Linked DNA regions of Macaca fascicularis. The protein of the gene in region 1 binds, or shares a complex with, the protein of each later gene. Links are inferred from orthologs where the notes say so. Each region holds a gene or a part of one and is shown in the gene's direction. Other genes may lie near its edges.

What was found.
Region 2: the proteins of RHOA (region 1) and TRPV4 are in contact, whole or in part, in a cryo-EM structure (PDB 9IQX), measured with the Homo sapiens proteins. The link is inferred for Macaca fascicularis from reciprocal best matches to the Homo sapiens genes RHOA and TRPV4. Residues at the interface, in NP_001300870.1 of Homo sapiens: Met1, Ala2, Ala3, Arg5, Tyr34, Pro36, Val38, Phe39, Glu40, Asn41, Tyr42, Val43, Glu54, Trp58, Glu64, Asp65, Arg68, Leu69, Leu72, Pro75, Asp76; in NP_067638.3 of Homo sapiens: Lys177, Arg179, Thr181, Glu183, Glu184, Arg186, Pro188, Arg224, Glu225, Asn228, Ser229, Pro230, Arg232, Arg237, Asp263, His265, Ala266, Gln267, Arg269, Asp313, Arg315, Arg316.
Region 3: the proteins of RHOA (region 1) and ARHGEF11 are in contact, whole or in part, in a crystal structure (PDB 1XCG), measured with the Homo sapiens proteins. The link is inferred for Macaca fascicularis from reciprocal best matches to the Homo sapiens genes RHOA and ARHGEF11. Residues at the interface, in NP_001300870.1 of Homo sapiens: Arg5, Thr19, Val33, Tyr34, Pro36, Thr37, Val38, Glu40, Asn41, Val43, Asp45, Glu54, Ala56, Trp58, Asp59, Ala61, Gly62, Gln63, Tyr66, Asp67, Arg68, Leu69, Arg70, Leu72, Ser73, Pro75, Asp76, Pro96, Glu97, Pro101; in NP_055599.1 of Homo sapiens: Asn715, Gln717, His718, Glu737, Val738, Glu741, Thr745, Ser748, Ser837, Lys844, Arg867, Arg868, Leu869, Gln870, Arg872, Asp873, Ile876, Met879, Gln880, Arg881, Thr883, Lys884, Leu887, Leu888, Ser891, Arg914, Leu917, Lys918, Val920, Asn921.
Region 4: the proteins of RHOA (region 1) and ARHGEF2 are in contact, whole or in part, in a crystal structure (PDB 7G9I), measured with the Homo sapiens proteins. The link is inferred for Macaca fascicularis from reciprocal best matches to the Homo sapiens genes RHOA and ARHGEF2. Residues at the interface, in NP_001300870.1 of Homo sapiens: Arg5, Lys7, Lys27, Gln29, Val33, Tyr34, Val35, Pro36, Thr37, Val38, Phe39, Glu40, Asn41, Tyr42, Val43, Asp45, Glu54, Trp58, Asp59, Ala61, Gly62, Gln63, Tyr66, Asp67, Arg68, Leu69, Leu72, Ser73, Pro75, Asp76; in NP_001155855.1 of Homo sapiens: Asp215, Ser216, Ser218, Leu219, Asp238, Val239, Glu242, Thr246, His249, Cys342, His345, Ser346, Leu349, Lys353, Lys376, Arg377, Gln381, Glu382, Leu385, Leu386, Thr388, Gln389, Ile391, Thr392, Lys393, Leu396, Leu397, Arg400, Lys423, Leu426.
Region 5: the proteins of RHOA (region 1) and ROCK1 are in contact, whole or in part, in a crystal structure (PDB 1S1C), measured with the Homo sapiens proteins. The link is inferred for Macaca fascicularis from reciprocal best matches to the Homo sapiens genes RHOA and ROCK1. Residues at the interface, in NP_001300870.1 of Homo sapiens: Val38, Phe39, Asp65, Tyr66, Arg68, Leu69, Leu72, Pro75; in NP_005397.1 of Homo sapiens: Lys999, Val1003, Asn1004, Leu1006, Ala1007, Met1010, Asn1011, Arg1012.
Region 6: the proteins of RHOA (region 1) and ANLN are in contact, whole or in part, in a crystal structure (PDB 4XOI), measured with the Homo sapiens proteins. The link is inferred for Macaca fascicularis from reciprocal best matches to the Homo sapiens genes RHOA and ANLN. Residues at the interface, in NP_001300870.1 of Homo sapiens: Tyr34, Val35, Pro36, Thr37, Val38, Phe39, Glu40, Asn41, Trp58, Asp65, Tyr66, Arg68, Leu69, Pro71, Leu72, Pro75, Asp76; in NP_061155.2 of Homo sapiens: Met729, Thr732, Val733, Tyr735, Gln736, Ala737, Gln739, Ala740, Cys743, Cys744, Glu748, His749, Gly750, Ser753, Glu755, Glu758, Ala759, Leu762.
Region 7: the proteins of RHOA (region 1) and PKN1 are in contact, whole or in part, in a crystal structure (PDB 1CXZ), measured with the Homo sapiens proteins. The link is inferred for Macaca fascicularis from reciprocal best matches to the Homo sapiens genes RHOA and PKN1. Residues at the interface, in NP_001300870.1 of Homo sapiens: Met1, Ala2, Phe25, Ser26, Lys27, Asp28, Gln29, Val43, Asp45, Ile46, Glu47, Gln52, Glu54, Thr163, Lys164, Arg168, Glu169; in NP_002732.3 of Homo sapiens: Glu40, Arg43, Arg44, Ile46, Arg47, Leu50, Lys51, Lys53, Glu54, Glu57, Asn58, Arg60, Arg61, Leu77, Arg78, Ser81, Leu84, Asp85, His88.

The regions. Positions count from the first base shown.
Region 1 is NC_088376.1:112,362,189-112,365,688, reverse strand, and holds part of RHOA (transforming protein RhoA), read left to right. Parts: intron 1-2,780; coding exon 2,781-2,911; intron 2,912-3,500. UniProt on the Homo sapiens protein: Small GTPase which cycles between an active GTP-bound and an inactive GDP-bound state.
Region 2 is NC_088385.1:116,664,565-116,668,064, reverse strand, and holds part of TRPV4 (transient receptor potential cation channel subfamily V member 4), read left to right. Parts: intron 1-164; exon of another isoform or gene 165-318; intron 319-482; coding exon 483-662; intron 663-921; exon of another isoform or gene 922-983; intron 984-1,085; exon of another isoform or gene 1,086-1,208; intron 1,209-2,735; coding exon 2,736-2,894; intron 2,895-3,199; coding exon 3,200-3,292; intron 3,293-3,500. UniProt on the Homo sapiens protein: Non-selective calcium permeant cation channel involved in osmotic sensitivity and mechanosensitivity. Activation by exposure to hypotonicity within the physiological range exhibits an outward rectification.
Region 3 is NC_088375.1:104,028,736-104,032,711, forward strand, and holds the start of ARHGEF11 (rho guanine nucleotide exchange factor 11), read left to right. Parts: upstream 1-1,176; 5' UTR 1,177-2,638; coding exon 2,639-2,670; intron 2,671-3,976. UniProt on the Homo sapiens protein: May play a role in the regulation of RhoA GTPase by guanine nucleotide-binding alpha-12 (GNA12) and alpha-13 (GNA13). Acts as guanine nucleotide exchange factor (GEF) for RhoA GTPase and may act as GTPase-activating protein (GAP) for GNA12 and GNA13.
Region 4 is NC_088375.1:105,084,526-105,088,637, forward strand, and holds the start of ARHGEF2 (rho guanine nucleotide exchange factor 2), read left to right. Parts: upstream 1-1,312; 5' UTR 1,313-1,545; intron 1,546-4,112. UniProt on the Homo sapiens protein: Activates Rho-GTPases by promoting the exchange of GDP for GTP.
Region 5 is NC_088392.1:68,652,323-68,656,544, forward strand, and holds the start of ROCK1 (rho-associated protein kinase 1), read left to right. Parts: upstream 1-1,422; 5' UTR 1,423-2,326; coding exon 2,327-2,419; intron 2,420-4,222. UniProt on the Homo sapiens protein: Protein kinase which is a key regulator of the actin cytoskeleton and cell polarity.
Region 6 is NC_088377.1:93,874,680-93,878,179, reverse strand, and holds part of ANLN (anillin), read left to right. Parts: coding exon 1-93; intron 94-376; coding exon 377-524; intron 525-1,643; coding exon 1,644-1,779; intron 1,780-2,418; coding exon 2,419-2,601; intron 2,602-3,500. UniProt on the Homo sapiens protein: Required for cytokinesis. Essential for the structural integrity of the cleavage furrow and for completion of cleavage furrow ingression. Plays a role in bleb assembly during metaphase and anaphase of mitosis.
Region 7 is NC_088393.1:14,864,576-14,868,520, forward strand, and holds the start of PKN1 (serine/threonine-protein kinase N1), read left to right. Parts: upstream 1-1,145; 5' UTR 1,146-1,247; coding exon 1,248-1,475; intron 1,476-1,626; exon of another isoform or gene 1,627-1,825; coding exon of another isoform or gene 1,826-1,846; intron 1,847-2,040; exon of another isoform or gene 2,041-3,870; intron 3,871-3,945. UniProt on the Homo sapiens protein: PKC-related serine/threonine-protein kinase involved in various processes such as regulation of the intermediate filaments of the actin cytoskeleton, cell migration, tumor cell invasion and transcription regulation.

The DNA.
Region 1 (3,500 bases):
GTGTGGGCCTTGGGTCCCTTTCAGCCTAGGTTTCCCATGGCTACTTTATTTAAAATGTATCCACCTAGGCAGGGCACGGTGGCTCACACCTATAATCCCTGCACTTTGGGAGGCCCAGACGGGTAGATCACCTGAGGGTCAGGAGTTCGAGAACAGCCTGGCCAACATGGCAAAACCCTGTCTTTACTGAAAGTTAAAAAAAATTAGCCAGGCATGGTGGCACACACCTGTAGTCCCAGGTGCTTGGAGGCTGAGGCAGGAGAATGGTTTGAACCTTGTAGGTGGAGATTGCAGTGAACCGAGATTATGGCACTGCATTCCAGACTAAGCAACAGAGCAAGACTCCATCTCAAAAATAATATTATTACTAAATAATATTAAATGTTATTTTAAAATGTAACTGCCTTGTAAACTAGATGAGTAAACTAGATGAATTCCAAATACAAAGATGAATAAACTAAGGCCAGGCGCGATGGCTGATGCCTATAATCCTAGCACTTTGGGAGGCTGAGGCTGGCAGATCACTTGAGGTCAGGAGTTCTAGACCAGCCTAGGCAACATGGTAAACCCCTGTCTCTACTAAAATACAATAACTAGCTGGGTGTGGTAGTGTGCGCCTGTAATCCCAGCTGCTCCAGGGGCTGAGGCGGGAGAATCACTTGAGCCTGGGAAGCGGAAGTTGCAGTGAGCTAAGATAGGGCCACCGCACTCCAGACTATCTCCCAAAAAAAAAAAAAAAAAAAAAAAAAAAGTATACCAGATGAGTTCCAAATGTAAAGCCATCTCTTTTGGGGAAAGACTTTTTTTCTTTTTTTTGGTTGCCCTGGCTTAGCCTTTTTCTGGAGTGTCTTAACTAACTGATAGAAGCTTGAATGTGATCATTTCATTAGCCTAAACACAGCCACATAATTCAGAAGTCAGTATTCTTTTTTTTTTTTTCTTCTTTTTTTGAGAGGGAGTCTTGCTTTGTCGCCCAGGCTGGAGGGCAGTGGCACGATCTTGGCTCACTGCAACCTCCACCTCCCTGGTTCAAGGAATTCCCCTGCCTCAGCCTCCCAGTAGCTGGGATTACAGGAACGCACCGCCATGCGCGGTTAGTTTTTTTGTTTTGTTTTGTTTTGTTTGAGACGGAGTTTCGCTCTTGTTGCCCAGGCTGGAGTGCAGTGGCACGATCTCGGCTCACCACAACCTCTGCCTCCCAGGTTCAAGCGATTCTCCAGCCTCAGCCTCCTGAGTAGCTGGGATTGTAGGCATGCAAGACACCAAGTCCGGTTAATTCTGTATTTTTAGAAGAGATGGGGTTTCTCCATGTTGGTCATGCTGGTCTCCAACTCCCGACCTCAAGTGGTCCGCCTGCCCTGGCCTCCCAAAGTGCTGGGATTACAGGCGTGAGGCACCGCGCCCAGCAATTTTTTTGTATTTTTAATAGAGATGGGGTTTCACCATGTTGGCCAGACTGGTCTCGAACTCCTGACCTCAGGCAATCTGCCCGCCTGAGAGTAAACTCAGTATTTGTATGTTTTTGTAGAGATGGGGTTCTTGATTTTTTTGAGACAGAGTCTCACTCTGTTGCCCAGGCTGTAGTGAGTATAGTGGCAAGATCTCGACTCACCACAACCTCCACCTCCTGGGTTCAAATGATTCTCCTGCCTCAGCCTCCCGAGTAACTGAGACTACAGGTGCGTGCCACCGCGCCTGGCTAATTTTTGTAGTTTTAGTAGAGATGAGGTTTTGCCATGTTGGCCAGGCTGATCTCGAACTCCTGACCTCTGGTGATCCACCCACCTCAGCCTCCCAAAGTGCTGGGCTTACAGACGTGAGCCACTGTGCTGGCCGGAGATGGGGTTTAGCCATGTTGCACAGGCTGTTCTTGAGCTCCTAGGCCCAAGCTGTCTACTTGCCTTAGCCTCTCAAAAGTGCTGGGATTACAAGTGCGAGTCACCACACCCAGCCTCGTTTGGTTATTTTCAAAAGTCATTCTTTTTTTTTTTTGAGATGGAGTCTTGCTCTGCCACCCAGTAGTGCAGTGGCGCGATCTCGGCTCACTGCAAACTCTGCCTCCCGGGTTCATGGCATTCTCCTGCCTCAGCCTCCCGAGTAGCTGGGACTACAGGCACCCACCACCACGCCCAGCTAATTTTTTGTGTTTTTAGTAGACATGGGGTTTCACCGTGTTAGCCAGGATGGTCTTGATCTCCTGACCTCGTGATCTGCCTGCCTCGGCGTCCCAAAGTGCTGGGATTGCAGGCGTGAGCCACTGCGCCTGGCCAAAAGTCACTCTTGAGCCATTTGAAATACCAGTAAACCTATAGGGTAGAAGTTATGCTGAGAGTCCATGAACAAGTTAGAAAAGGAGCATATAGACCCTGGGTCAGCTGCTGCCCTAGAATGGGCACCCCTTCTGTAAGCTATGTCAGAATCATCTACCAGCAGTAACGGATGTCCTGTAAAGTGCCTGCCTTTGTGGGGCAGGAAGTACCCCCGTGAAGCTACCTTGTGTTGTGGATCTTTTGCTCCTCCAGAGCCCTTCCTTGGGCCCCACCTACAGAGATGCTCAGCACCATTCTTGGCTATACTGAGAAAAAGCTGGTGGTTCTCTGTTTAAAGGAAAGGGATTATATTTGCCCTTTTTTATGGTTTTGAAACTAGTGGGTTTCATTAAATGTCTAGCATTCTTCTGAAGCCACAAAGAAAGTGTCTCTGAATTTCACTGAGGTTCTTGGAAAGTCTTCAAGATAGAATTGTATGTATCCCCAAATTCTCTACATTTTTTTTTTCAGAAAACATCCCAGAAAAGTGGACCCCGGAAGTCAAGCATTTCTGTCCCAACGTGCCCATCATCCTGGTTGGGAATAAGAAGGATCTTCGGAATGATGAGCACACAAGGCGGGAGCTAGCCAAGATGAAGCAGGCATGATCTGGGGCAGGACTGTCTTGTATTATTCTTGAACTATGGCCCCAAGGTTGGAGGTTTGGGGAGCCCAGCAGAAACCTTCACAGGCCAGGTTGTTTTAGAGGCTCAGAAGCCCCTCTCTGGCCCTCTGACCCTCATTTATTGAGATCTTCACAGAAGATCCCTAAAATAGTTCACTAGTTCTGTGAGATGGAATGTTTTTTATGAGGTAGTGCTATGCCCGTAAGGACTGCTGGCCTGGGAATGAACCATTTCATCAGTAGCAAGTAGTCAGTGGCTTTAGATGTAGGAACTTTCTTTTTTTTGATATGGAGTCTCATTCTGTCACCCAGGCTGGAGTGCATTGGTGCAATCTCAGCTCACTGCAACCTCCGCGTCCGGGGTTCAAGCGATTCTTCTGCCTCAGACTCCCGAGTAGCTGGGACTTACAGGCGCCCTCCACCATGCCTGGCTAGTTTTGTTTGTTTGTTTGTTTGTTTGTTTGAAGTAGAGATGGGGTTTCACCATGTTGGCCAGGCTGGTCTTGAACTCCTGACCTCAAGTGATCTGCCTGTTTTTGCCTTCCAAAGTGCAGGGATTACATGTG
Region 2 (3,500 bases), on another chromosome or scaffold:
GTGAGATTCTATCTCAAAACAAAAACAAACCCCAAAATCCTAACATTGCCTGACCTTGGGCAATTCCCAACCCCTCTCTGTGCCTCAGCTTCCCTGTGTGTAAGCCAGGGAAGGAGTGGTAACAGGAAGGACCGCATATGATCGTCAGTATTATAATTCACATATTATTAAGATGGATTCATTGCTATTTTAATGGCACGAAGAACATATTCATTACAATTAAGATGTTGAAGGCTCATTCCGGTTCCGTCTGGCTCCAGCTGACTGGTTAAGTGTCTTCTGGAACACCTTTCATTTTTCCCAGCCTCCACTCCTTATCTGTAAACCAAGATAATAAGAGCAAGAATTAAACAAGATGAGGAAGGGGTCCTCCAGCAGCCGGTGCTCAGCTGTTTTCTGGGGAGGCGTCATGTGCTGAGCTGGGCCCAGCCCTGGGGACCTCTCCAGTGTGAGCCCCCTGACCCTCCTGGCCCCCTGTGTAGATCTTTCAGCACATCATCCGGCGGGAGGTGACGGATGAGGACACACGGCACCTGTCCCGCAAGTTCAAGGACTGGGCCTACGGGCCAGTATATTCCTCGCTTTATGACCTCTCCTCCCTGGACACATGTGGGGAAGAGGCCTCCGTGCTGGAGATCCTGGTGTACAACAGCAAGATTGAGGTGGGCTCCAGGAGAGGGCATGGGGTGCGAGGAAGGAGGGGCAGGGCTGGGAGCAGGGATGGGGCCCTGGGGCTGGGCTAGGGGAGAGAGCCTCAGCCTCTAGTGCCCAACGTGGTGGATCTGTTGGCTGACTGCAAGAGAAGGTGCCAATTAAGTGCCCAGAACAGTGTCTGGCATGTGAGGAAATGAGCAAGACTTGTGGGAAGGTGGACTTTTGGAGCAGGTAGGACTGGGTTGGGATCCTGGCTCTGTAACTTACATGCTGTGTGTCTCAGGACAAGTGGCCCCACCTCTCTGGGTCTCAGCTTCCTCATTTGTAACCTAGGGATAAGGATCATACATATCCCATGGGGCTGTTGGGAGGACCAAAGAGGTTAATTTTAGAATGGCCTGGTACAGAGTAAAGATTATGTCAGCTTTTACCATTCGTGGTTGTTATATGAACTTTTGAAAGCTCTTTTTTTCAGCGAGGCGTGGTGGGTTATGCCTGTAATTCCAGCATTTTGGGGAGCCAAGGTGGGCGGATTGCTTGAAGCCAGGAGTTTGACACCAGCCTGGGCAATATGGCGAAACCCCGTCTCTACAAAAATAAAAATAAAAATAAAAGTTAGCTGGGCGTGGTGGTGCGAGCCTGTAGTCCCAGCTACTTGGGAGGCTGAGGTGGGAGGATCACCTGAGCCTGGGGAGGTCGAGGCTTCAGTGAGCTGAGATCATGCCACTGCACTCCAGCCTGGGTGACAGAGGGAGACCCTGTCTCAAAAAACAAAACAAAACAAAACAAGCTTTTTATTTTTCTACTTAGCAATATTTTGTGAACATCATTCTGTAGTTTTAAATATTCTTTGGTAATATTGTCGCTGCATGTAAATGTACCATATTCAAATGAACCGTTCTGTTATTGTTGGTCGCTTGGGTTTGTTTCTGCCTGTAACTATCAGGAATAACACTACAAGAGCATCTCTGTGGCTGTGTTATTGCACAAATCATGATTATGGAGAAACTCAAGTCATTAAAGGGCTAGGAATCTATACAAAGGGAGCAGAAAATGCTGGGGACTGGGTGCAGGTGGTCACCCTTCTAACCCTGCCCTGTGGCTTACTGGTCTGTGAGCTTGGCTTCCTTGCAAGACCTCATTTCTCTTATTTTTTTAATTAGTGGCCACCTTGATTTAAATTAGTAGTGGCAGCAGGTTTAGCATCTCAGGTGCAAACTGATTGATTGGTAGTGTCTACCCAGGGAACTGTATGAATACAATTGTGCAGGGCTCAATTATTGATGGCTGCCCTGGGTTCAGAATTGGAGAATTGTGGTAAGTCAATCATTTATCATCTTTGGGCAAAAATTTCCCAATCTTTCTCTCTGAATCAGAATTTCTGAGAATGGAGGCCAGGATTTATACTTGCGGCAAGCTACATAGATGATTTTGCGGCCAACAGCTTGGTACTATCCACAGATTGGAGTTTGGGAACCATGAGAATAAATGTCCTTTTTTCTTTTCTGAGACGGAGTCTCGCTCTTGTCGCCCAGGCTGGAGTGCAGTGGCACAATCTAGGCTCACTGCAATCTCCGCCTCCCAGGTTCAAGTGATTCTCCTGCCTCCGCCTCAGGAGTAGCTGGGATTACAGGTGCCCGCCACCACGCCCGGCTAATTTTTGTAGTTTTAGTAGAGTCAGGGTTTCACCACGTTGGATAGGCTGGTCTTGAACTCCTGACATCAGGTGATCTGCCTGTCTCGGACTCCCAAAGTGCTGGGATTACAGGCGTGAGCCACCGTGCCCTGCCTGAAAATAAATGTCTTTTAAGGGACTTTCCAGTTCTGAGTTCTGTGACGCTAGAATAGGGCGGAAAGGCACATTGAGGCAGAATTGGGCAGAATCTCAAATGGTGAGTGCGGGAGCTTGGGGCTGATGTTCAGTATCTGTCCAGTTCCCCATGAATCCTTGAACGCAGCTGAGGAATGGATGGAAAGAGAAAGCGCTATCGGGGTGGAGGGTGGGGGAAAGCACAGCCGGGGCAGCCTGCCAGGACCCCCCACCTCAGGAAGGCAGCCCCTGACCACCCTGCCTCTCACAGAACCGCCACGAGATGCTGGCTGTGGAGCCCATCAATGAACTGCTGCGGGACAAGTGGCGCAAGTTCGGGGCCGTGTCCTTCTACATCAACGTGGTCTCCTACCTATGCGCCATGGTCATCTTCACCCTCACCGCCTACTACCAGCCGCTGGAGGGCACAGTGAGTGCCCAGGGACCGGGCAGGGGCTGGGGCAGGCACTGGCTGAGCCATGCAGGATGGGGGCACAACCTCGTCCCTCTGGGTCCCCTGTAGGAGGAACTGGAGAAGGTTTAGGAACAGGTTGGGGAGGCGCCCTCCAACATGCAGGGGTGGCCCTGAGCTGGGAGGAGGGGGACTCAGGAGCAAGAGAGTGAAGGAGGAGGCTACATGGGATCCAGATGTTTTGGGTCTGGGGGAACATCTGGATTGGGGGCCAGATGTTGGAGGGGCCGGGTGACGACCTGTGTGCCCTTGCTGCTCCCCAGCCACCGTACCCTTACCGCACCACGGTGGACTACCTGCGGCTGGCTGGCGAGGTCATTACGCTCTTCACTGGGGTCCTGTTCTTCTTCACCAACGTGAGTGCCTGGCCCCCGTGCCCCCCACTCTGCCTGCTCTCCTCTTCCTCTTCTCTTCCTGCACCTCTTTTCTCTCCTTCTTCTCTTCTCTCTCCTCCAAATCGTCCTTCTCCTTTCCTTCCTCCTTTTATTTTCCCATTTCTCTTCTACCTCCTCCAATCCCATGTTCTCTATCTCTGCTTTTTTCTCCTTTTCTAACAGGAAAGAG
Region 3 (3,976 bases), on another chromosome or scaffold:
CCGCCTTCCGGATTCAAGCGATTCTCGTGCCCAAGCCTACCGAGTAGCTGGGATTACAGGCACGCACCACCACGTCCGGCTAATTTTTGTATTTTTACTAGAGACGGGGTTTCACCATGTTGGCCCAGGCTGGTCTCGAACTCCTCACCTCAGGTGATCTCCCCACCCCCCCACCTCGGCTTTAATGATTTTTAATAAACGCTCAGGACCCTCTGACAAATGTCATGTTACTTGTAAAGATTTAGAAACTGTGATTCTACGAGAGGGGGTTATGAAAACAGAATTGCTCTGGAAAGGCTCTTCCATAGAGTTCAAAGACACTTTACACAGCCTGGTATTAAGATGCCCAAGCCAAGCCTAGAGGAAACAGCGAAGGGTCTTCCCCCTAAGTCGGTGGTATTGTAAGTGGGAAGGACCACAGAAACGGGCGGAAACAGTTAAAAGAACTGACACCACGAAAGAGGCCGCAACAAATGTTTGAAAAATAAGATCAGAAGAGAGGTGGAGAGAGGGTGAGCCGTAGCTGCGGGCGCCGGGGTAATGCCGGTGGACGCAAAGAAGTGAACCCGCACCCGTGGGCAGGGGCATGGGGCGCGGGCACGGTGGCGGGGCGGGCAGGGGGTAGGAAACAAAGGTCGGCTCCCGCGCAGAAGTCAATAAAGGGGGGAAAGCAGACGAGGAAAAGCCTGCAAAAGGTGGCAGGGGTGGTGACGGCGGTGGCGGTGGCGGCGGCGGCGGGGACGGCGCGCGGTGCCTGGCGGGGTCAGGGCCGGGGTCGCCCGCGGGCCAGGCCGGGGATCCGGCAGAGACTGGAACCCGCTAGGCCGCGCCGAGGGGCAGGGCTGGCGACTGAGGGGCCGCGGAGGGGACCGGCCGAGGAACGACGGCGAGGGGTTGTGGGGGGCAGGGCGCGCAGGGAGGCCAGGACAGGGGCGGGCGGGTCGGCGGGAGTCGCGGCCGCGGGAACCGAGGCAGGGAAGGGCGGTCAGCTTCCCGCCCCCGCTCCCGGCCGCCGCGGCGTGAGGGGAAAGGCCGGCGGGCGGCGGGCAGCGCCGCGAGGAGGAGGAGCCTGCGGCCCCGCCCCGCGGGAGCGAGGGAAGGAGAAAGGCTCACAGGGAAGAAGGAGGGAGGGAAGGGGGCGGCCGGCCGGGCCTGCGCCCGAGCGAGCGGCGAGCCGAGGGGGAAGGGGCCCGGAAGGAGGCGAGCGCGGCCGCGACGCCGGCAGTCGGACGCCCGCTCGTGCCGGCCTGCCGCAGCCGCCGCCGCCTTCCCCGTGCGCCGAGCCTGGCGTCCCGAGCGGCCGCGAAGGCCGGAACACGGCGGTCGGGCGCGGGGCGAGCGGCGCCGGTAGCCGGAGGCCCGGCCAGGCGTCCTGCGCGAGGCACGGCGGGCTCCTGCCTGCGAGATTAGGCGAGGGGCGGAAAGGGAGGCAAGGAGAGGCCGAGAGGAAACAGGCGATCGGATTTTCCAGGAGGCTGGTGTGAAGGAAAAACCCACCTCGAACTCAAATCCACAATCATAATCCGAATAAGGGAGCCGTCTTTCTGACCGGGCGATAGAGAGGGAGAGAAAAGGGGGAACGGGAGGAAGCGAAATCTCCGTTTCATGGAGGCTGAGGCAAGAGAAAATTTCGGAGCTTGGATGTGGAGGAGCCCAACAGCAGAACTAACTCAGGAAATTGTCTTTCAGAAAAAGGCCGAACGTAGGCTGGGTCTGAGAATCAGGCTGGGGTAGGTGGAGGAACCTGCAAGTTTAAAGGAAAAAGAAAAGGAGAGAATATTTTCAGAGATTATCTCTGGTTTGTTAATCATTACTACCATCTTAAAGGTAAAAAGCATTGCATTTCAGGTGTTCTTTGAATTTTTTTTTTTTTTTTTTTGGTGCAATTGGCTCATTTAAGAATTTCAAAACATTTAATGTAAAAGCTTTTCTTTTTCTTTTTCTTTTTTTAAGGAAGTCCATAAATTTTGGTTCCCAGGGTTGCACTGGACTTGGAAGGAGTGCTGTTGTGTACATACTATTGTATGGTTTTATTTATTTTTTTACTGTGCAAATCAGCTGGAAGATTTTTTCCAAGTGCCATTTCGGATTTATTAATCCTTTTTTTTCCTTTCCTCAAAGATATTTGCTGTTGTCATATTAAGCATTGGAGACTAGAAAATTATTTTCCCCCTTTGAGCTAGAGGGTCTCTTGCCAACAGAAGGACAGCTGAGAAAACTGGATTTAAAGGATGGTTTTATCTGTATTTTGCAGTTAACAGTGATATTTTGAAGGCACATTTTTCTGTGATTCATTTTTTTTAGCCCATAGTGCTAACCTTGAGGAGGTTTGTGGCTGGGTTTTTGGTTTCTGAGAAGGTCACAGTTTTTCCTCTTTTCCTTTTTTTTTTTCTTTTCTTTTTTTTTTTTTTTTTTTTAAAGCTGGGGAGGGGAAGAGGGGCTGAGAAAGGAAATCATGTTCACTGGTAGAAGTAGAGTGGAGCATCAGTTACCAGGGTCCTGAGAGCTGGAGGAGAAAGGATTCAGTCTTCAAGTTGGGAGGCCCTCCTCTCACCTTGCTCAAAAATTGGAAGCGATTCAATCCTGATCAACACACCAAAGCTACAGGATTCTGGAACCGTGGAGACACCGAGAAACCATGAGTGTAAGGTTGCCCCAGAGTATAGACAGGTAGGTTTGCTAATGATTTGATTTTTCAACATTGACTAAAAGACTGGGAGGGGTGGTGTTGCATTTTAATAAATGGTTGAAAATAAGGGTCTAGGTGGGCTTTGGGAATTGGGACTAGGAGCATTAGTCTCTGGGGACCGTCAACCTGTGTGGTTATGTGCTTTCTGTGTGTCTATGTTAAAAACACAGCTCTTAATTCAGCGTCTTTTGAATATAAGCAATAAACAGTGAAGCCAGGAGAGGAGAAGGAGGAGGATGTGTTTCCAGTGGCTTTTGACTTTTGCCAGGGTGGAGGCTGAATTTGAGTCCCCCCAACTTGCCAGCTCAAGTGGGCACAAGCCAGTCTTGTGAGCTCCTAGGGGTGCACTAGGGGGACTGGCTTTAGGTGTTGGAGCTGCTGGGAGAAGGGCCCTGGCAGGGGCGTGGGCCTCCACCAGGCTGGTTGGTATGGAATGGTGGGGCTTGGGGACAGGGTGGATCCCATTTCTAGAAATGAAGAGGATGTTCTTGGCCTGAATGATGGGACAGAAACATCCTTTGCACCCATGCAGGTCTGGATTTTTACCAGTAGCTGACATGGCCCCAAAATGCATAGGTCACGTTAGAATTTCCTCTCCTCCAAGCTTAGAGTTTAAATTGAGACCTGCCAACCGGCCGATGCTCTAGGTTTAATCTTCCAAGCTGTTCTTAATAAGCTGGACTCTGCAAAATGGGCCTTCCCTCTGCCTGGAGCCAGAAGAAATTGTTTTGGGCTCCTAGGCCTGCTGGGCAGCAGCACTGGCCCTCAGAGTCTGAACACATGACACCCCTTCCCCCAAGAGTCTGCCCAGCCACCTCTATCACTGGTAATGTTACAGTGTGGTTGCAATTCTTGCCTGCAAATGATTGGTACAACTTTGTAAGGTGTCTCTCTTTTCCTTCCCTCCCCTACCCCTCCTCAACCCTTCTCCCCATGAGAACCTTGCTATGGGGGTGTGTTTTGTGGGCACTGCACACATTCTAACTAGATAGATGGGTGGTTGAAGGACTGAACAAGCAAATGAAAGGACAGGGCCTGGAAAAAATATTATTGGAGAGATAGGGAAGAATATTTGCAAGGGAGCAATTGCTCCCTCCATGCCCAGTCCACCTTTGGTTATCCATGCTAATAATAATTTCCTTTTGGCTGTGGAATGTGGCCTAAAATGCATATAATCTCTCTCTCCCAAGCACTAATCTCTGTATTGCCTCAGAGTCCCATTTAGATTAGTTCAGCAATCCCTAGATGGGAACTGACTTGGCAGTGGAGAAGAGGAGGCAGACAGCC
Region 4 (4,112 bases), on another chromosome or scaffold:
AATTTGATGCTCTCATTTAATAGATCAGGAAAGACACAGGGTGAAGCGGCTTGTCCAAGGTTGCCCACCAGTGGCAGCTAGCATATTTATTTATTACGGACCCAGCATGTATGTTCCACTGTTCTCACATGTCTCATTTAACATCTGCATTCTACAGATAAGGGGATGAGGCTAAATAGGTGACACAAGGTCCTGTAACTAGTGACTTGGCAGAGGCAGCCAAGATCTTCCAGCTCTAACATGCCCTTTCTACTAGCCCACAGGAGGCAAAGAGGGCTCTCCGTTACCTCAGGAAGTCCGACGTCAGCCCCAGCTGTCCTCTGCCCCAGGGAAAGCAGTGAAGGTGAGTCAGCCACTGCCCCGCCCCAGAAGCTGTTATCTGGGAAGAGAGTGGGGGAGCTGGTCAAATATACTGCCGCCTGGTATCCACAACAAGCCATGAGCCCCGGATATGCTGAGTTCCTTGGTCACCCTTGTTCCTGGTGCTGACACTAGGGCCCTTCTCAGTGCAGCTGCCCTTGTAACCGCTCCACCCTGTACTTTCATCACAAAAAAATACAATCTTTCCTCCTCCATTGCTGTAACCTGCCTCTTAAAGGGACAAACAATCAGGTTTTTTTTATTGTTGTTTGTTTGTTTGTTTTGAGATGGAATCTTGCTCTGTTGCCCAGGCTGGATTACAGTGGCGTGATTTCGGCTGGCTGTAACCTCTGCATCCCGGGTTCAAGCGATTTTCCTGCCTCAGCCTCCCCAGTAGCTAGGATTACAGGTGCACACCACCACCCCCGGCTAATTTTTATATTTTTAGTAGAAACGGGGTTTCTCCATGTTGGCCAAGCTGGTCTCTAACTCCCGACCTCAAGTGATCAGCCCGCCTCGGCCTCCCAAAGTGCTGGGATTATAGGCATGACCCACCATGCCCGGCCAACAATCAGTTGTGAAGCCTAATTTGAGAGGGCAAAGGACGCCACTGACCCCGCTGAGGACCCTGCTGTGAAGTGGGTTTCCAGCTGCAGCTGTTTCTTTCCTGGAGATGTCCGCTTTCTCCCCTCCCCAGTTTCTCCCTGACCCTGTTGGAGGAAGGATGAACCTTCCCTGGACTGTCAGGTTCCCGTATAGTCTCTCCTCAGGGTGACCCCAGCATGGCTTCTTGTACCTGTTTCCACACAAGTCTGAATTCTGTAGCCGCCCTGTGTTCAGGGAATGCTGAAGACAGAGGGACCCAGGAGTCCCTGGGATCAGTAGTGGCACTGAAAGAGTTAAGGGCCTGGGCACAGCACTGTTTAGGGTGTTTGAAGTAGGGCGGGGAAGGGAAGGGCTGCAGTGGATGAAGAGGCAGCTGGTCTGTACTGGAATGAGTTCCCCCTTATGCAAACTTCTGGACCATGAGCAGCTCCCTTAAAAGGACCAAGAGAGAGGGGACCCCCACCAAGGTGCTGGACTGGTTCTTAAAGGGGCCACCTGAAGCAGGACTTTTTCCCACACTGAAGTCACCAACTGAGGGCAGAAACAGGTCTCCCATCTTTGGGATATCTCCCAGGTCTGGTGAGTTTCCCTCTCTCCTTTCCTGGGTCCTTGCCCTCAGACCCTCTCTTGCCCCACCTGTCTGGCATGGCACCCAGAACACATGCCAGGAAACTGGCAGGAGGTAGAAGAGGACTGGTTGGTCTTGACCCTTTTCTTCTCTATCCCCCACAAATAAAGGGTTAGTCTGGGTCCCAAGCCCCTGGTAGAATAAGCATACAGCTACAGGTCCAGCAGAACGGAAGAGGGCAGGGTCCCTAAGTTCAGTTTACTAACCAATTAAAAAAAAAAAAAAAAAGGCGGTCACACTTGGAAGCCCAGAGCAGCAAAATTCCTGACTGACTTATGAACCTAGTACATCAAGGACATGGGGATGATTTAGGGAGAGTGTCTGAGATGCCTGTGGCTGACTTAGTAGAGGGGTGTGTAGTTAGATTAGGGGGCTGGGGACGCCTTGAAATTCCAGAACTAAGTACAGATGATAATGCCTCTCAGGAGACAACCCGGAAGCTGATACGACAGATGGCTTTTGCCCATACTGGCCTCTGCCCCACTAAGGGATGGTAGCCAGGGCCCACCATTGTATTTGTGCATAGACTCTTCTGGGTCCTCTTCTCTGTGCCTGACACTTAAAAGGTGCTAAAATAATCTTTGCTGAATGAATGGATCCTCTATATCTTTTACTTTGCTTTCATTTTTGGAATTGTGGCACTACTCTCTGACAGTGGACAGGAAAGTCAGAGAAGGAGAATGAGTTCCAGGACACCAGCGTTCAGCCAAGTCAGGCAGATGGGTGAAGCAGGAAGGTATCAGAGACTTGGGTGCTCCTGTCTTGGAATGGGGTGTCTAGGGAGCACATGGGAAGGAATTGTAGCTCCTGGAGCCTTCTTTATCTGAGGCGAAGAGAAGCTCTGCTTTAGCCTTCTTTGCAGGGCACTGTTGGATTAATGGTTTACTTTCTACAGGAGAAGAAATGTTAGGTTAAATTTTGAACCATCAAAGAGTTTTTGTGACCCTGTGTCCCACCCCCAGGGCCAGGAGATTTGGAGGAGAGCCAGTACAACATGTCATTTGGCCTCTCCTTTCCTCCTCAGCCTTTATTATCCGATTCTCTTGGGTCTTCTCCAATATTGGCCACCTCGCTAGATTTAGGATCCCAGAGCCAGACTCAAAGCTTCTCAGACTGCGAAAGGGCCAGCCAGCATTGCCTCCAAGCAACAGCACCTGGCTGTTTGGTTGCTGTCAGCAGTTCCTCCCCCATGTTCGGTGTTCGCTGGCAGCAAACATAACCAGAGACCTGCCTGTGCCCCATCACCTCATTCAGGGGTCTAAGCTAACACAGGGAGCAGAAAGGATACACTGAACTTCTTTGGGACCCCTATCTCATTTCTTTTGGAAGCTGCTTCGTTTCTTTGGCTGGGGTCAGGGAGGTAGGAATGAGGTGGGTAAAAATAATGTTGCCAGATTTCTTTCAAAGCTAGCCACTTGGCCTGGTGTGGTGACTCATGCCTGTAATCCCAGCACTTTGGGAGGCTGAAGTGGGTAGATCACCTGAAGTAAGGAGTTCAAGACCAGCCTGGGCAATATTGTGAAACCCCCATCTCTACAAAAATACAAAAATTAGCCAGGCACAATGGCGGGTGCCTGTAATGTCAGCTACTTGGGAAGCTGAGGTGGGAGAATTGCTTGAACCTAGGAGGCGGAGGTTGCAGTGAGCCGAGATCGCGCCATTGCACTCCAGCCTGCCTGGTGACAGAGCAAGACTATCTCAAAAAAAAAAAAAAAAAAAAAAAAGGAAAAAAAAAGCTAGCCACTTGATAGGCTGGGCACAGTGGCTCAGGTCTATAATTTCATCTCAGCACTTTGGGAGGCCAAGATGGGTGGATCACTTGAGGTCAGGAGTTCAAGACCAGCCTGGTCAACATGGTGAAACACTGTCTCTACTAAAATTACAAAAATTAGCCAGGCGTGGTGGTGCACGCCTGTAATCCCAGCTACTCAGGAGGCTGAGGCAGGAGAATCACTTGAACCTGGGAGGCAGAGGTTGCAGTGAGCCGAGATCGTGCCACTACACTCTAGCCTGGGCAACAGAGCGAGGCCGTGTCTCAGAAAAAAAAAAAAAGCTAGCCACTTGCTTTCTTTGAGAGCTTGTTTTCTGGTTTCAGAAAAGAATTCAGGCTCCATAATGTGATGGATCAGCTTTGAAAACTCATCTCCGCCTCCTATCAGCTCTGTGACCCCCAGCCAGTTACTTAAGCTCTCTATGCAGCCTGTTTCTTCATATGTAAAATAGGGATAATAATGTCTGTTTCAAGAAATATTTGTGAGGATGGCACAAAATGGATGTTGGCACTCATTATCTCTCTCTATATAGGCCTCAGATGACATTTAGGAAGTAGGTATGTTGGCTGGGTGCAGTGGCTCACACCTGTAATCCCAGCACTTTGGGAGGCCAAGGTGGGAGGGTCACCTGAAGTTAGGAGTTTGAGACCAGCCTGACCAACACAGTGAAACTCCCTCTCTACTAAAAATGCAAAACTTAGCTGGGTGTGGTGGTGGGTGCCTGTAATCCCACCTACTTGGGAGGC
Region 5 (4,222 bases), on another chromosome or scaffold:
AAAAATGGTAATAATAATAAAAAAAAGACAAGCAGGGTTTAGGAAATTTATTTTAGGGCAACTGCTAGATTTATTTTAAGCCCTACGCTTAAAAATAAATCTAATTCACATGACTTAAAATGCTGGAGCCAAGAAAAGTCACTGCAAAGGCATTTAATGAGATACCTGGTTTGTCTAGTTGTCTTTGCTATGATTTTTGTATAAACCAAAAACGTCCTATCTTGATATATACAGTGGATTTTACATCTAAATATTTCTTGTATTTAATAAATTAAAAATAGAAATAGACATTTTTTTCAAACCATATAAGATTTTCCTAACCTCTGACTCACATCGTAAGGTTGGTGGACTGTTCAGATGCTGTACGATGCTTCTTACCCCGATGCTTTTTGGTTCATCTGTAGCATTTTCCATCATGGGGTAAAAGATCCACATTTTCTATTTCTAGTGATCCTTAATTTGATTTCTGAGCAAAAATAAAGTTTGATTAGAAATACATTAAGGTAGATTTCCTGCTGAAACCAGTGAAGAACATAACTTTATCAGCGGGGGTGAGTGACAAATCTTTCACCTTTCCTCACATCACAGTCAGTGAAGCAACGAACTAGGAGAAATGCCTATTATTCTCATGTCCTACGTCAGTTCTGATAAAAATCACACTTACGTTTCACTGAATGTTTTGACATTGAAACGACAGCATTACATGTCCAGGAGAGAACTACAGTGGGGGTGTTAATGAAGTAAGAGAACTAATACGAATGACTTAAAAATATTGTTTTTTTTCTAAGAGATTATTTTCCTTTAAAAAAATTAAATTGAGCTTGACTTCTATTGACTGTACCTTCCGGAGTCAATATTTTATGGCTCCCCTGACACACACGCCTGGCGTGGGAGGGTTGAGCGCTTCGAAACTTTCCCAGTGAATTGTAAATGGGTTCAAGGCTAGGGCTCCAGAGGGCTATCCATGGAGTACCACCGAAAACCAAACGCCGCTAAATGCTGGTACCTGCCCACGAAAAGGCTTCCTGCCTAAAGAAGAACGTATCACCCCATCCTGACAGTAACAAGAACAAGCACTATCTCCTCGTCAGAAGTCTCTGGACTTGCTACAACCCAGAGGAAACAGAGCTGGGGCATCTGCCGGGACAGCGACCAGAAGCAGCCAGAGCTCCGCCTCTGTCCGGACCTCCAAGGCGGCTCCAGAGCCCTGCAAGGCTCCTCAGAGCCGGCCAAGGCTCGGACCCTACCGGCAGCTGCTTACCCCACGTCTGCTCCTCCCGGCGGTCCGCCTTCTCCGCCCGCCTGCCCGCAAGGCCCCGCCCACCTCACCGCCCCGCCCCGCCCTGCGGAGGCGACACCGTGCGCGCGCGCGCGCGGGGTCCCGGCTGGTTCCCCTTCCGAGCGTCCGCGCCCCGCATGCGCAGTCTGCGCCGGCGGTCTCCGTTTGTTTGAACAGGAAGGCGGACATATTAGTCCCTCTCGGCCCCCCTCGCCCCACCCCCCCAGGCATTCGCCGCCGCGACTCGCCCTTTCCCCGGCTGGGACCGCAGCCCCTCCCAGGAGCTCCCCCATCAGCAGCCGCCGGGACCCAACTATCGTCTTCCTCTTCGCCCGCTCTCCAGCCTTTCCTCTGCTAAGTCTCCATCGGGCATCGACCTCGCCCTGCCCCACCGGACACCGTAGCAGCAGCCCCAGCAGCGACGGGACAAAATGGGAGAGTGAGGCTGTCCCGCGGGGACCAGCTCGTGGCCGAGACTGATCGGTGCGTCGGGCCGGGCCGAGTAGAGCCGGGGACGCGGGGCTAGACCGTCTACAGCGCCTCTGAGCGGAGCGGGCCCGGCCCGTGGCCCGAGCGGCGGCCGCAGCTGGCACAGCTCCTCACCCGCCCTTCGCTTTCGCCTTTCCTCTTCTCCCTCCCTTGTTGCCCCGAGGGAGTCTCCACCCTGCTTTTCTTTCTCTCCCCGCTCCTGCCCATCTCGGGACGGGGACCCCTCCATGGCGACGGCGGCCGGGGCCCGCTAGGCTGAAGCACCTCGTCGGAGCGACGAGGCTGGTGGCGACGGCGCTGTCGGCTGTCGTGAGGGGCTGCCGGGTGGGATGCGACTTTGGGCGTCCGAGCGGCTGTGGGTCGCTGTTGCCCCCGGCCCGGGGTCTGGAGAGCGGAGGTCCCCTCAGTGAGGGGAAGAAGGGGGAACCGGGCGCACCTGGTGACCCTGAGGTTCCGGCTCCTCCGCCCTGCGGCTGCGAACCCACCGCGGAGGAAGTTGGTTGAAATTTCTTTCCGCTGCTGGTGCTGGTACGAGGGCATTGTCACAGCAGCAGCAACATGTCGACTGGGGACAGTTTTGAGACTCGATTTGAAAAAATCGACAACCTGCTGCGGGATCCCAAATCGGAAGTGAATTCGGATTGTTTGCTGGTGAGTAGCGCTGTTCTCTTTTGCTCGTCTGGGGTTTTGCATGTCTTTCCTTCCTCTTGCATTACTCTGGTTCGCTGCAAAAGAAAGTCTCAGGTGTGCATAATCGTCTTGGAAAACGCTGGATTTCTGTTTCCCGAAGAATCTTGGAGTACCATTAACATCTCATGGCATGGTCCTATTTGCCATTTGACTGGCTCTGTACTAACTACTCTCTGAACTTTTAATTCTGACTCAGTTCATGAGTACCCGAAAGATACTTACAAACTGCTATTGCAGGCATCCTATAAAAAGTTATTACGTCAGAGTTACTGCAACGTATGTAGTTTGTTGAATGGCGATCGTAGTAATACTAATCTTTTTGATCAGTTTGACAGTTAAATTGAAAAGACTTTGCTTTTTTTTTTTTTTTTTTTGCGATTTAGCTCCTAGGCGTTTAGTTTTTAGCCTTGAAAGTGACAACGGATAATTGATATTGAGCAAGTGATTTTTGAGCCAAAATTTCATAGGTGATTTGAGTTTGAAGGAACTTTTGGCTAAACTATTGTAAAAACCCAAGATAATTGGTCTTAGGCCATTACAATGTTAACTTATTATATTATTGGTTACAAAAGTACTGACCATACAGTTATTGTAACTGTCTTTTTGGTGGTGTGGCACTTAACATTGTCACTTTTAAAACATTCTAAAGAGGGTTTTATGACATGAAAAACCAAAATCCCATTTTAAAAATAGTTAAGTGGTTGATAACCTACAGTTCTCTGTAAATAATTGGAATTCTTAGGTTTGATACATTTCCTCTGTAAACGAGTTTCTGAACAACTAAGGGTTATATAGTATTTCTCTTTTAGTCCAAACAAAACCACAAAATCTCTACAAATAAGGTTTCAGGGAGTACGTATATGGACGGGATTTCACAAAGTCTTCGGTGAAATAATGTTAGAGATGCTCAATTTTGGGAATTAAGATTAAGGAAACAAAATAATACCACTCAAAGAAATAATACAATTCAAAAATCCCATCTTGAATCAAAGGAAAATTAATGTAGATTGTTTAAAATTAACGTGCATATTTTTCCACGTGTATGGACTTTACAAGAAGCTTCCCAAAGCTTTCAGAATTATTCTAAGCATCCCTGACCAGGAAATAAGAGTATTGTGGGTTATTAGAAATGTCTTATCACATTATGGATGCTCTTCATATTGAGAAATAGTAAAGAAGGTTGATGCACAATGGATTTTAAAACATTTTATTAAACGAGATAAGTGGAAGGAATTAGAATATATCTGTCTAGTAAGGATTTCTATAACTTCTAAGAAGTCTGATTTATCTTTTAATATTTATCCAGTTTTCATGTATTTTTGAGTTTATTTTGCTTTTTGATCTCCTTATTACATGAGATGGTGTTATAGGGAGGGTTTTGTAGCTTTCTTTTTTTATTTTAATCATCTTCCAGCCTCTTGCTATAGCTTCATTTGTTGGGGACCTTTATTTAGATGTGGAGGATACAAGGAAATATAAGTCATGGACTCTTTCCCCGAGAGTCCAATCTATTTAATGGAAGACAAAACCTTATCTCACATATATACACAGAAACAAAGCCAAACACTTCACAGATTGAGAAATGTGATAAATTCCAGATGATTGTTTAGATAATGTATGATCTTGGAAATTGAGAGGGAGAAGTCACTGTGAATTGAGAGAGCCAAAGTATGTTTCATGATGGATGGATAGGATTTAGATAGAGGGTACTCAGGAGGAGTGGAGGATAACGTGAATAGAGGATAGAGACATGACTGGCTATGA
Region 6 (3,500 bases), on another chromosome or scaffold:
AAGTCCAAAACCAGGAAAATTCCAAAGAACTCGTGTCCCTCGGGCTGAATCTGGTGATAGCCTTGGTTCTGAAGATCGTGATCTTCTTTACAGGTAAGAACATTTCTGGAAGGCATTCACTCACTAAGGGTCATGGTTTAGATTGACATTAAGTCATGTTATAATTTGTAATTATAATGTTATTAATAACTCATCTGTATAAAAGTTTGGAATAACTTTTGTTAGCCTCTCTTTCACCAAATGAGAGTTCCATTCTGTTGTGAAATGTTCTGCTGACATGTTCAATATCAGTGTCAAATTCTGCTGATATATTCAATAAAGGATAGTGCTCAGTGTGTTGCTAGATTTCTAATAGAATGTAACTTACCTCCTGAAGCATTGATGCATATAGATCTCAAAGATTCAAAGAAACAGAACGTCCATCAATAAAGCAGGTGATTGTTCGGAAGGAAGATGTTACTTCAAAACTGGATGAAAAAAATAATGCCTTTCCTTGTCAAGTTAATATCAAACAGAAAATGCAGGTATGTACTTCTGTGGAAAGGGGATTTGGAATGTTTCTTGCACTAGGCTGTGAGCTTTGTGAGGACAAGGGCCCAGCCTTACTCATCTCTGAACCCTGAGTGGCCAGAATAGTGTCTGATGCACAGAAGCTCAGTAAATCACATTTGAATTCAGTTTATTTTTGGAAAGGTACTCATTTTGAAAAGTTGGAAACTTCTTTGATATTGCTGAAATATTTATTTTTAAACAGGTTTTTCATAAATATCCTTAAAGTATAACTATTAATTGGGTAATGATGTAGTGGGAAATTTGTTATGCACTTCAAGGTTTTTTCATGCTAAGAAGCTTTTTTTTTTTTTTTTTTTTTTTGACACACCGCTTTGCTCTTTGTTGCCCATGTTGGATTGTAATGGCGCAGTCTTGGCTGACTGCAACCTCTGCCTCCTGGGTTCAAGCAATTCTTCTGCCTCAGCCTCCCAAGTAGCTGGGATTACAGCCATGCACCCCCACACCCGGCTAATTTTTGTATTTTTAGTAGAGATGGGGTTTCACTATGTTGGTCAGGCCAGACTCGAACTCTTGACCTTAAGTGATCCACCCACCTCAGCCTCCCAAAGTGCTAGGATTACAGGCATAAGCCACCATGCCTGGCTTTTTAAAAAATTTTAATTATGAAAGAAAATAGAGATGGAGTGTCACCGTGTTGTCCAGACTGATCTCACACTCCTGGGCTCAAGTGATTCTTGTGCTTTGGACTCCCAAAGTGCTGGGATTACAGGTGTGAGCTACCATGCCTGGCCCTAAGGAAGCATATTTAAAAAGCAGTGTAATTGTGATGTAAATAAAATGAATCAAATACTTTATAAATTTCTATTTTGTTGGACATAACCCCAATTTTAACTTTAATAAATATGAATTGGAAGTTTTTTCATAAGAAATAATATTTATAGCTTAATTATTATAACATGCTAAATGTTTTTGGTGCATAGTCTAGAAACTTGAGCAGTGAAACTAACGTTTTGACTTTACCGTCTGGAAATTCTAGAAACTATCCAATCAAGTTAGTTAGAATTAAAGTTTAAAGTGAAAATGATGATTTAAAATATGTGTATTTTTTCTCCTCTCATTGGTTTTCCTAGGAACTCAATAACGAAATAAATATGCAACAGACAGTGATCTATCAAGCTAGCCAGGCTCTTAACTGCTGTGTTGATGAAGAGCATGGAAAAGGATCCCTAGAAGAAGCTGAAGCAGAAAGACTTCTTCTAATTGCAAGTACGTGTGATGTACCTGAAAGAATTCCAACAAATTTCTAATCAGGGAAAACTCATTTTGATATTTAGAAATCTTTAAGTTTAGAGAAAGGGCTGTTCCTAGTCATCTGTTCCAGTGGATCTGTTTTTTGTTCTTGTTTTTATAAGGTTTAAGAACTCTATGTAAAACAAATTGTAGTTTGCATGAAAGGTAAAAGCAACTGAAATGCATTCGAAGAAATGCAGTTGTGCAGATTGAATGAATGAATGGATGAATGAATGAATCTCTATATATACACATGTACCCATACATTCTCTCTCTCTCTCTGTCTCTCCCTCCCTTCCGTTATCAATAAATAGCTAAAACAACTGAATTTTGCTGTGTGCATATATGTGGTGATGATGGGGCATGTTGGGGTGGACAGATGATACCATACATGAAAACTAGCTGAAAGTTGATTTATTAAATCATAAGGACTTGGTAAATAGATGAGCAATCAAGGTTTTCCCCATCCACCTATCGTCTGTTTTATAAAGATAGTGTTACTAATTTCGTCTTCATGTGTTATGTACAGTTTCCACATCAGTACACTTTTTTGAATTTGCTCTCATTAGAAACAGTTACAATTTTAATATTTGGAATATTGCGTGTTTCACATAGCTGAGAAGAGAACACTTTTGATTGACGAATTGAATAAATTGAAGAACGAAGGACCTCAGAGGAAGAATAAGGCTAGTCCTGTATCCCAAAGTGAATTTATGCCATCCAAAGGATCAGTTACTTTGTCAGAAATCCGCTTGCCTCTAAAAGCAGATTTTGTCTGCAGTACGATTCAGAAACCAGGTATGGTGGTGATTTTTCTAGATTGTGTGTTAAATTATGAACCTCACCTAGATTGAATTGTACAGGATAGAAACAAGTAAATCATGCATAACAATGCAAAGTTTGTATCTTTGGCCTTTGGGTCCTTTTATCAAGATTTAATAAAAATAACTAAGGGAAAACTTCAGATATATATGGGGATACCAATCTATACAATAATGGGCATTGCTCTTACTGAAAGTTTGAATATAAAGTTTTATTAAATGTTGGATATGGTTTTTATAGTTCTTTTAAAAATTTTATTTGTGTGGAACATACTTTTTGAGGGGAAGGAGGGCTGGACACAGGTGAGAAGTAAATTTCAGGCATAGGGAAAGTAAATAGAGAGAAAGGTTTGAGCATTTTTGTAGGAATAAGGTAACTTAGGTTCTAATTCTTGCTGTTACCTGATTTTGATGGGGTGTGGCCAGAAATTTATTGGTAATTTAGTATGTGTCTTGAGGTACGTGGTTATTAATGACAAATAGTGAAGAAATAGTTTATGTTTTTATTATAATTTATCTCTGAGTAACTTTTATATATATATATAGTATTTTAATCTCAGTTTTGAAATAACAAACCATAATTTGCCCTTTTGAGATATATACTATTAGTTGAGAATTAAGGGTCATTAGGTAAAATTCAAAATCAGCAGAAATTGAGGAATGTGGAGTGAAATTATTTCAATTTACATAGTAGGGAGAGACCTTGATGATGCTTATTTCAGGATTATACTGCCTACTTAAGTCTTATTTAGCTTTCTGTGTCTGGAAAGTTGATTTTAGTAATTTTAAAAATAAATTGTATATAAATCAGTTCAGTATTCCTTTATTTCTTTAGTATTCCAGAATGCCGATTAGCTAAATCTGATTTTGCTTGTG
Region 7 (3,945 bases), on another chromosome or scaffold:
TTTTTTTCTTTCTTTTTTTTAGACAAGGTCTCGCTCTGTCACCCAGGCTGGAGTGCAGGGGCATCATGATTGCTCCCCACAGTGATGCATTCTCGGCCTCTTGAGCTCAAGCGATCCTCCTGCCTCAGCCTCCTGGTAGCTGGGACTACAGGCATGCGCTACCATGCCTGGCTGGATGGATTCTAGATCAGAATATTCTCCTCCTTCTCTCTTTCTGTTGTTAATATCCCCCAAAGAGTTGCTCAGATGAAAAAATAAGAGAGAAAACATCGCGCCCTGGTTTCCGGGACGACTGAAACCACGCAGAGCCACGCGTAGCTAAGGTACCCACAGCCCACGGCGCTTCCTCGGGTCCCAAAGGGCGCCAATGTGCAGACACCGCCGCCAGGGAGCGCTCCCCGCCGGAGCCCCGGAGACCAAGGTTTGGCTCCCTCGCCTGGTTTCCGAAGGAGTGAGGGTCCGACGGCAGCCGTAAACAAAGCTGCACGCTCTGCAGACCCCGGAGATCCCCTAGAAATTCCTCAGAGGCCTCCACTCTCCGCATGGGCACGAGTCTGCATTTATGGAGCGCCATCTGCATGCAGCAGCCCCGAAAAAGAAGGCGGTGCCCATTTTATTGTGTGGAAAACTGAGACTCAGAGGCCACAGGGGTTCCCAGGATGAACAGCGAGTTGGGATTCAAACCTCTTTTAATAACAATAACGATAATAGAGGTCAGGCGCAGTGGCTCAAGCCTGTGTAATCCCAGCACTTTAGGAGACCGAGGCGGGCGGATCACCTGATCAGGAGTTTGAGACCAGCCTGGCCAACATGATGAAACCTCATCTCTACTAAAAATATAAAAATTAGCCGGGCATGATGGCGGGCATCTGTAATCCTAGCTACTCAGGAGGCTGAGGCAGAAGAATCGCTTGAACCCGGGGGGCAGAGGTTGCAGTGAGCCGAGATCGCACCACTGCACTCCAGGATGGGCAATAGAGCGAAACTCCGTCCAAAAACAGCAAAACAACAAACAATTACGATAACATTAAAAGTGACAGCAGCTAACACTTATGGAGCGTCTAGAGTGTTCTCAGCTCTTGGCCTGCACTGTCTCATTGAATTTTACCAACACCTAGGAGGTGAGCGCATCATTCCCATTTCACAGATGAGGTGCCTGGAAGGATTTGGCTTCCCCAAGGCGTAAAGCGCTGGCATTTGAATGCAGATCTGCCCAGAGCTTGTCTCCAGGTAACGGGGAAACTTCCATGCCCTTGAATAGGGGACCACAGATGCAGGCGTCCCGAGCTTGCAAATGCACAGGGATGGGGTGGGGTGGGGGGGTTATTTTTTTTTTTTCAGGGGTTCTGGGAGGCCCAAAGGCCTCCGCCGCTCTCGGCTTGAACGCGGGGAACCGTTCTCCTCGGGTTCCCGCGCGCTCCAATGGGGGACCTCTCGGCAGCGTGCGGTCGTCGCAGGACCCGGAAAGAGGAAAGGTGGGGAGCCGATCGGGGTGCTCCGAGCTCGGGAGACTGAGGGGGCGGGCGGGCGGGACCCCGCAGCCCCGGGGGCCTCTGGGAGCCCCTCCCCCTCGGCCCCGCCCCCTCCCCGGGCGCCGACCTCCGGGGTCACGTGACCGGGCCCGGCGGCCGCTGGGGCTGGAGGGCGCGGCGCGGGGACGCGGCGGCCTGGGCAGGCGAGGCGGGAGCCTAGCAGGCCGGAGCGGGCCGCGGGCCGGGGAGGGTCGCGCCGCGCCCGCCCCCTCCCCGCCACGCCCGGGGCGCACGCGCGCTCCTCTGGCCGCCCCTCCCTCCGCGCGGGGACCCCTGGCGGGCGGCAGGAGGACATGGCCAGCGACGCCTTGCAGGTAGGCGCACCTGCGTCTGGAGTCCCGGGGCGACCGGACGGCTCCAGGGGACCCCGCCCTCGCGCTCCCGGGGGAGCCCCCCAGCCCCCCGAACGGGACTCGGGTGGCGATGGCTAGGGCGGGGACCTCCGGAGCGCCCGGCGCCCCCTCCCTGGGCCGGGACTGTGGAGCCAGCGAGGCCCCCTTCTCGGCAGGTGGCGATGTGGACGGGGCTGGTTTGGGGGCAATCTCGGAGGCACCCCCCGCTGCACCCCCAAACTCGGCCTCTCCCAGAGAACTAGAAGGGGCGCGGCGGAGGCTCTACTTCGGGTGTCTGTGGCTGGCTGGGAGTCCCGGTGCCTCTCGTCCGCCCCCAAACTCATCCCCCTCCCCAGGGTTGGGTGCCCGGCAGGTGCCGCTCCACCTGGGGCAGGTGCCTGGCGCAGTGCCGTGGGAGGGGAGGAGGCCGCCGGGCCCGGCCCGTGCCCTTCCCCCGCATAACAAAGCTCCAGCCACCCCCGCCTCTAGACAGCTTTATAGTGTTCCAGACGCCACCCAGATTGGCACCTGTTGGCGGAAGTACCCGAGTCACTGCATTAGGTCGGGGGACTGGGGACCCCCGCTCCTACTCTTGGACTGTCAGGTGGAACCTTCTCCCGGGTGGGGAGTGCCTCAGTCAACAGGCCAGGGATGCTCCCATATATAGAATCCTACTTTTTTGCATGGTGGCTGGGCAGGGCTGGGTCACCCCCACCCTCCTAACACACACACGTGACTGGCACCAGCCTTCTGCCCAGCCAGATTCCCCCGTGCCACCTGGTTGGTATCACTGACCTGGACTCATCTTCCCCGTCTGTGACAAGCAGGGCCAGCGTGACTGCCAACCTTCTTTGGTTCAAGTGACCCAAATCTGAGAAATGTCTGTGCCTCGGTGCCCCCATTTGCACCTCACCATCCAGTTCATCGTCCTGTGGCTGTTGTGTAACTGGGTTCTCGTCTCCTTCTGCACCTGCCCCCTGCCCCTCTGTGTCTCCCCCGTAACCCCCGGTCCCTCCCACCTCCCCAGTCCTGCTGATGGCCTGCCGGCCTTGCCGAGGAGCTGGGCGTATCTGGTGTTGCCGATCACACAAGGTCAGACCTCAGGGCCGGGATGGGCCGGGGTCCCTGCCTCCACCCCCGGCCCAGGGAGGGCTGTGTAGGAATCCCCGGGCGCATGCATGCGCTTGGCGCGTCCCACACATGACCCAGACAGGCTGTGATTCCTGCAGTGAGGCTGGACCCACGCCCTGGTCCCCCCTTCCCATCTCCTCCTTAGTCTCTTCCCTCCTCCTGGTCATCCCTCTCTCATGGTTGCTTGGGCCTGCCGCCCTGTCCCTCTATCTGTCCCAACGTGTGCCTGTCTGTTCTGTGTCCTGCAAACGGATGTCCTGTCCAGATTCCGGAAACGCCCAAGGCATTGAAATCTCCGGATGTGGGGGTCTAGGTCCCTGGCTGCTCTGGCAAGATGGGGATTCTGGGAGGCAGGTCCTCTGGGTCTGAGGTCTCCGCTCCATGGTGGGCAGCAGAGGAGCAGGGGTTCTCCATAGGCCAGGCCAGGCCCCTGAGTCCTGGGTTTGCCTTGGTGGCCCTCAGGTGACCTGTATGCCCTGGGAAGAAGTGAGTCACTCAGGGGAGGAGAACCCAGGAGCCCAGCCTCCCTCCCTCTCTGCATTACAGACCTCAGCTGCTGGAGGTGGGGCCGAGGGAGGCCACCTTTCCTCTCTGCCTGGACTTCCCCAGTTGAGCTGACCCCGCTCTTGGCTGTGTCCTCCCTCTGCCTGCTGGGGATGGGGTGGGGCCTGACTGAGTGAGGGTGGTATTTGGTGAGCCTGGGCTTAAATTCCGACGCTGACACTTCCTTGCTGTGTGTCCTGGGCCCAGTGCCTTCGCCTCTCTGAGCCTCGGTTCTGACCTAGGAAAAATGGGACTAAGAGGGTGTTCATGGGAGAGAGAGACCGAGACCTGGCCAGCACTTGGCAGGCGGGGCTGCTGTGAAGTCATTACTGGTAAGCGTCCTGGTCAGCAGCTCAGGGTGTGAATCTGTGTCCTTACTGATTGATTTACTTGTTTATATTTATTTA